Macaca fascicularis: one gene and its partner. The protein of the gene in region 1 purifies or fractionates together with the protein of each later gene. This does not show direct contact. Links are inferred from orthologs where the notes say so. Each region holds a gene or a part of one and is shown on either strand. Other genes may lie near its edges.

Region 1 (3,755 bases):
GTTGATTTTTGTTCTTAGGTAGGCTCTCCCTTTAAAGTCAACAATCCTGGCTTTCTTTTTTTTTTTTTTTTTTTTGAGACAGAGTCTTGCTTTGTTGCCCAGGCTGGAGTGCAGTTGTGCGATCTCGGTGCTCTGCCGGCTCCGCCTCCTGGGTTCACGCCATTCTCCTGCCTCAGCCTCCTGAGTAGCTAGGACTACAGGTGCCCGCCACCACACCCAGCTAATTTTTTTTTTTGTATTTTTAGTAGAGACGGGGTTTCACTCTGTTAGCCAGGATGGTCTCGATCTCCTGACCTCATGATCCACCTGCCTCGGCCTCCCAAAGTGCTAGGATTACAGGCGTGAGCCACCGCACCCGGCCAGATCCTGGCTTTCTTACATGGTCTTTAGTCGCTGTCTCCCAAAGGGTGAAACACTTTCACTCAGAATTGCTATCAATCCCTTCTGTCAGAATCCATTTGACAAAGAAAAAAGAAATCTCTAAAAAATTACTTGGCTCGGGTGGGATTACATGCCCAACCTGAATGAATCCCTGCATCCGAGGGAATAGGATACTCTGGCCAGTCTGGACCATATGCCTGCCCCTATTGTGGTTGGAGAGAGTATGATAATGAAAGCTTTCTGGGGTACAGGTGGGTGTGAGTTCTGCTAGCAGACAAGGGAGGCGGGGAAGGGACACTGGACAGGCAAGGGCACATGGCCACTAATCAGCTCTAACATGTTTTGAGCCATGGTGTTTTGTGAAAATGGCAGCATAGCCCCATGACTGTGGGTCCTCCACTGTTAGGAAGACTGCTTCAACAGCCACAAGGACAAGCTTGAGGGCAGGAAGGCATGTTACCACTCAAACAGTAGCAAGGAGCAGGGCATTAGCAATTCATAGGGCCTGGGGCCTGATATGGGGTCCATTAGTAGCTCCCCACTGTGATAATCCCTTTATCTGGTTTCCGTACCTTTAAAATGGGGGTGCTGGCCTAGTTTTCTTACCTTACAATGGGGATGCTGGCCTAAATACTTACAAGCCCTACTTTTTATTTTTAATTAATTAATTAATTTATTTATTTTTTGAGACGGAGTCTCACTCTGTCATAGAGTGTGCAGTGTCATGACCTCGGCTCACCGCAACCTCTGCCTCCCGGGTTCAAGCAATTCTCCTACCTCAGCCTCCTGAGTAGCTAGGATTACAGGCATGCACCACCATGCCTGGCTAATTTTTTGTGTGTTTTTACTGGAGACAGGGTTTCCCCATGTTGACCAGGTTGGTCTTGAACTTCTGACCTCAAGGGATCTGCCCACTTTGGCCTCTCAAAGTGCTGGGATTACAATCGTGAGCCACCGCGCCTGGCCCCCTTTCTAGTTTTTAAAAACTCTGAGGCAAGGACCAGGTGAGGTGGCTCATGCCTGTAATCCTAGCACTTTGGAAGGCTGAGGTGGGAGGACTGCTTGAGCCCAGGAGTTCAAGACCAGTCTGAGCAATATAGCAAGACCCCATCTCAAAAAAAACAAAACAAAACAAAAAAAACCCTCTGAGGCTGAGCATTTAGTGTGTTTGTTAAACAGCTGGCCTTTTTACTTTTATGGTAACACACATATGTGTTATATATATGTTAAGGCTAGTTAAATGCATGCAAATGTTAGGTATTGTATCACCAAAGTTGTGACCCTTATGTGGTAAGATACCTGTGCTATATTATTCAGATGGACAGTGAGTAAACCAAAATTGCTCATCCTTACCAGCTGCTGTTTGTTTCTTTTTAATCCTTAAGTTTTACATGGACAGATGGCAAATTAAACAGCAGTAACTTGGTAATTCTGTCTGGCCAAGTGGTTGAACACTTTGATCTGGAGTTCCGAATCCTGTATGCCCAGTCCAAGCCCATCAGTCCCAAACTCCTGTCTCACTTCCAGAGCAGCAACAAGTTTGATCACCTCACCGACCGAAAACCACAGTCTAAGGAGCTCACCCTAGGCAACCTGCTGCGGATGCGGCTGGCTAGGCTCTCCAGTACTCCCAGGAAGGCGGACCTGGACCCAGAGATGCCCGCAGAGGGCAAGGCAGAGCGCAAGCCCCATGACTGTGAGTCCTCCACTGTTAGTGAGGAAGACTACTTCAACAGCCACAGGGACGAGCTCCAGAGCAGAAAGGCCATTGACGCTGCCACTCAAACAGAGCCAGGAGAGGAGATGCCAAGGCTGAGTGTGAGTGAGGTGGGAACACAAACCAGCATCACCACAGCGTGTGCTGGGACCCAGACTGCAGTCACCACCAGGATAGCAAGCTCTCAAACCATGGTTTGGTCCAGGTCAACCACCACTCAGACTGACATGGATGAGAACATTCTCTTTCCTCAAGGAACTCAATCTACGGAAGGGTCACCAGTCTCAAAAATGTCTGTATCAAGATCTTCCAGTTTGAAGTCTTCCTCCTCTGTGTCTTCCCAAGGCTCTGTGGCAAGCTCCACTGGCTCTCCTGCTTCCATCAGAGCCACTGACTTCCACAATCCTGGCTATCCTAAGTACCTGGGCACCCCCCACATGGAACTGTACTTGAGTGACTCACTTAGAAACTTGAACAAAGAGCGGCAATTCCACTTCGCTGGTATCAGGTCCCGGCTCAACCACATGCTGGCTATGCTGTCAAGGAGAACACTCTTTACTGAAAACCACTTTGGCCTTCATTCTGGCAATTTCAGCAGAGTTAATTTGCTTGCTATTAGAGATGCAGCACTTTATCCTTCCTATCAGTAACTACTCCGTATTCAGACTCCTGGTTTCTTCCAGGCTTACAGTGGACATCATCAGCTTCCTGCTTTAAAAAATATCTTACGTCCCTAATTGCCTTTCTTTTACCTGACTTTGTCACCTTTGTTGTCTTTGAATTCTATAGGCTGCATATTCTTTTACGTGCTTTGTTTTGTTTTTGTCATGTATGTACCAGGTATTGGTTTTACGGTTTAAACACTATGGATACAGGTTTATTTTTTTTTCTTGTTTTTTTTTTTTTTGCACAATTTTAATAGTCATGCACTACATAATGATGTTTCGGTCAATGACAGACCACGTATATGATGGCAGTCCCGTAAGATTATAATACCGTATTTTTACTATACCTTTTCTATGTTTAGATACAAATACCATTATGTTACAGTTGCCTACAGTATTCAGTGCAGTAACATGATGTACACGTTTGTAGTCCAGGAGCAACTGGCTATACCATATAGTCTAGGTGTGTAGTAGTTATACCATCTAGGGTTCCGTAAGTACACTCTGTGCTGTTTGCACAAGGACGAAGTCACCTAACAACACATTTCACAGAATGTATCCCTATCATTGGGCAACACGTGACTGTATTAATCTCTTAAGGAGAATGCTTAGGTGTTTAAGTCTAACTCAGGTGAGAGATGAAATATGTTTTGCATTTTTCTCAGGTTATATGCTTTTCCGCTTTAAAGGTTTGAATTATCAGCATTTTTGTAATCAAAATCCTATTTAGAAAAAATAAAACTACTTTTTATCTCTTTAGAATATCTGTGTTCTTAGCATTAAATAAATATAAACTTGTGTTTTTGTACTTTTTTCCCCCTTCTCTGACACTTTTCTCTTTAAATCTGGGAATATGTCACAAATAAATGCATCTAATAGATAAAGGTATATAGGTATCTATATCTGAAGGTTTTTAACATAGTGTCAGGGTGAGGAAGAAATAGATGATCCAAACTATAGAAGGGAAAATAGATCCACTTAACCTTCATTAG
Region 2 (3,655 bases), on another chromosome or scaffold:
AAGCTGAGATTACACCACTGCACTCCAGCCTGGGAGACAGATTGAGACCCTGTCTTTAAAAAAAAAAAAAAAAAAGTTTATGAAGAGGCGGGGCTTTGATGAAATGACAAATTTTAACAAGTGGGCTATGTAAGTTATTTAAGAACATAGTACTGTATAGGACAAGCACATATGGGAAAAGCATATGTATTTCTTCTACTAATATTGTACATAATAGGGTAGGTAGAGTCATGAAATTTTATTTAAATTTATGAGGAGACCAAGCCATCATTTTAGCTCTCATATCTTCCTGTGAAATGGTAAAATATCTCACCCAAAAATATCTTTTTGCTTGTACTTAAATGCATTTATTTTTCTATCTTGAAATGTTTGTTTTTAACTTTGTTTTAACCCTTGAACTTATAGGGGTTTCCTGCAGAATTTGCCATGTACTTAAACTATTGTCGTGGGCTACGCTTTGAGGAAGCCCCAGATTACATGTATCTGAGGCAGCTATTCCGCATTCTTTTCAGGTCAGTTTTTAAGGTATTTTAAGATTATAAACTCTGTGAGGGAAATTGGTTAAATTTACCTAACAAATTCATTCTGATAAATACTAAAGTAAAGCAGATCTGACTAACATGAATAAAAGATTTAAGAAACTGATTTATTTGGGACTAATTTGGCATTTTTCTATTTGCAGTGTAAATAGGTGATTTTAGTTTGGAGTGGATAGAGAGTTGAATCATACTCAAAGTAGAATGTAACTTTTCCAGAATAGTTATAATTCATATTAGATATAAGTGGCTGTCAGTGCCTTCTGGAACTCTCCAACTTTGTTACAGTACCAAATAGAAAAGCAATTAAAATATCACATAGTCATGGAGTCTAATCAAGTGGTAGCAGTCCTAAACTCGGGTAGGGTTCCTTAGGCACAACCCAGAACTGGTCTTGAAAAAGCGGGGGGGAAATAGATTACATGTGGCTCAAACTCTTAGTTGGAAGAGAATAAGAATTGAGGTAATCCAGCCAGGTACGGTGGCTCACGCCTGTAATCCCAACACTTTGGGAGGCCAAGGCAGGCAGATCACTTGAGGTCCGGAGTTCGAGACCACCCTGCCCAACATGGTGAAGCCCCATCAAAATACAAAAATTAGCCAGGTGAGGTGGTGCTCGCCTTTAATCCCAGCGACTTGGGAGGCTGAGGCAGGAGAATCTCTTGAACCTGGGAAGTGGAGGTTACATTCAGCCGAGATCCCGCCAGTGCACTCCAACCTGGGTGACAGTGAGGCTCTGTCTCAAAAAAAAAAGAGAGAAAAACAAAAAGTAATCTGCCAGACACAATGGCTCACACCTATAATCCCAGCACTTTGGGAGGCTGATGGGGGTGGATCACCTGAGGCCAGGAGCTCGAGAACAGCCTGACCAACATGGTGAAACCCCGTCTCTGCTACAAATACAAAAATTAGCCGGGTATGGTGGCAGGCGCCTGTAATCCCACCTACTCAGGAGGCTGAGGCAGTAGAATTGCTTGAACCTGGGAGACGGAGGTTGCAGTGAGCCAAGATTGCACCACTGCACTCCAGCCTGGGCAATAAGAGCAAAACTTTGTCTCAAAAAAAAAAAAAAAAAAGAAAAAGAGAGAGAGAATTGAGGTAATCCTTTAACCCCAGAAAAGTGTCTTCCCAAGGCACCAGTCAGACATCTTATAACCAAACTTCCAGTTGAATATTTACTCTTACTTGTTTTTAGGAAGTACCTCCTCTTACGAGTATTCCCGTAGATAACTGACAGCTTGACTTGATGTTTCAGTTTTCATGTTGCCTTTTTTATACATAAGAGAAATATTTTAGAAGCTGCCACACTTGAGGAAATATTCATTGTGTGAAGAAATGCTCTCACTGTCTTAAAAAGTTAGTAGATTATAAAGCCGGGCGCTGTGGCTCATGCCTGTAATCCCAACACTTTGGGAGGCTGAGATAGACGGATCATAAGTTTAGGAGATCGAGACCATCCTGGCTAACATGGTGAAACCCTGTCCCTACTAAAAATACAAAAAAAAATTAGCCAGGCATGGTGGCGGTTGCCTGTGGTCCCAGCTACTCGGGAGGCTGAGGTAGGAGAATGGCGTGATCCCGGGAGGCAGAGCTTGCGGTGAGCCGAGATCGCGCCACTGCACTCCAGCCTGGGGGACAGAGCGAGACTCCGTCTCAAAAAAAAAAAAAGTTAGTAGGTTATATAACTGGACTCTGTTATTAAAGGATTAACATAAAATATTTTATGTTTTCCAGGACCCTGAACCATCAATATGACTACACGTTTGATTGGACAATGTTAAAGCAGAAAGCAGCACAGCAGGCAGCCTCTTCCAGTGGGCAGGGTCAGCAGGCCCAAACCCCCACAGGCAAGCAAACTGACAAAACCAAGAGTAACATGAAAGGTTAGTAGCCAAGAACCAAGTGACGTTACAGGGAAAAAATTGAATACAAAATTGGGTAATTCATTCATTTTTAACAGTGTTAGATCAAGGAGGTGGTTTTAAAATACATAAAATTTGGCTCTGTGTTAAAAAAAAAAAAAAGACGTCCTTGGAAAATTTGACTACTAACTTTAAACCCAAATGTCCTTGTTCATATATATGTATATGTATTTCTATATACATATATGTGTGTATATTTATATCATTTCTCTTGGGATTTTGGGTCATTTTTTAACAACTGCATCCTTTTTACTCATTCATTAACCCCCTTTCCAAAAATTTGGTGTTGGGAATATAATATAATCAATCAATCCAAAATCCTAGACCTAACACTTGTTGATTCCTAATAATGAATTTGGTTAGCCATATTTTGACTTTATTTCAGACTAACAATGTTAAGATTTTTTTATTTTGCATGTTAATGCTTTAGCATTTAAAATGGAAAATTGTGAACATGACGTAATTTCAAGAGGTGAGTCTGGCATGACCCCCGAAGTGTCTATCTTCTCAGTTGCAGAGCATCTCATTTTCTCTCTTCAATGCTCAAATAAACGCAAAGCTCAGCACATCTTTTCTAGTCACAAAATAATTCTTTCATTTGCAGTTTAACTACATATGATCTTAATTTCAAAACGATTCCTTTGTTTTTGGCTTGATTTTTTACAGTGTTGCAAATATCAGGCTCCCAGGGTTTAATGTGGAATTGAAGTCTGCAGTCAGGCCTTGCAAATTGAAGATAACTGGGGCAAATGCCATTGAAACCGCTAGTCTATTTCCTTTCTTCCTTTCTCTGGCACTCTTACTGCCTGTAAGGAGTAGAACTGTTAGGGCACACTGTTGCTATACAGTTTGACTCCCATTTTCATGTTTTGTGTTTTTTTTCCCATTTCTGGGGCTTACCTCCTGATACCTGCTTACTTTCTGGAAGTAGTGGGCAAGTAAGATTTGGCTCTTGGTTTCTAATTTTTAAATTTCTGAATGACTGCTCTAGTCTGAACTTGGCCTTTATAGATTAATCTTTGCTTCACATTTTTAGTGTTGTATTTAAACTATTTTATAATTTAAAAATAGATTCTAACCTGAAGATACTTTTCAAGAAATATTAACTCATGTCATCCTCATCCCAGCAGCTCATCTGTTAGGAATGAAGTTGAGATACTTCTATTCCATGTTTCTGTATTTGGGAAGGTTTCAAAG

Evidence for each region. Proteins that work in one complex are often made in the same cells at the same time.
Region 2: the proteins of FAM83D (region 1) and CSNK1A1 purify together in Homo sapiens (affinity purification with mass spectrometry; 8 studies listed by BioGRID and IntAct, counting the BioPlex papers as one, with this or other methods). This does not show direct contact. The link is inferred for Macaca fascicularis from reciprocal best matches to the Homo sapiens genes FAM83D and CSNK1A1.

The regions. Positions count from the first base shown.
Region 1 is NC_088384.1:95,076,743-95,080,497, forward strand, and holds the end of FAM83D (protein FAM83D), read left to right. Parts: intron 1-1,766; coding exon 1,767-2,748; 3' UTR 2,749-3,522; downstream 3,523-3,755.
Region 2 is NC_088380.1:156,385,507-156,389,161, reverse strand, and holds part of CSNK1A1 (casein kinase I), read left to right. Parts: intron 1-405; coding exon 406-512; intron 513-2,270; coding exon 2,271-2,419; coding exon of another isoform or gene 2,420-2,424; exon of another isoform or gene 2,425-2,532; intron 2,533-3,655.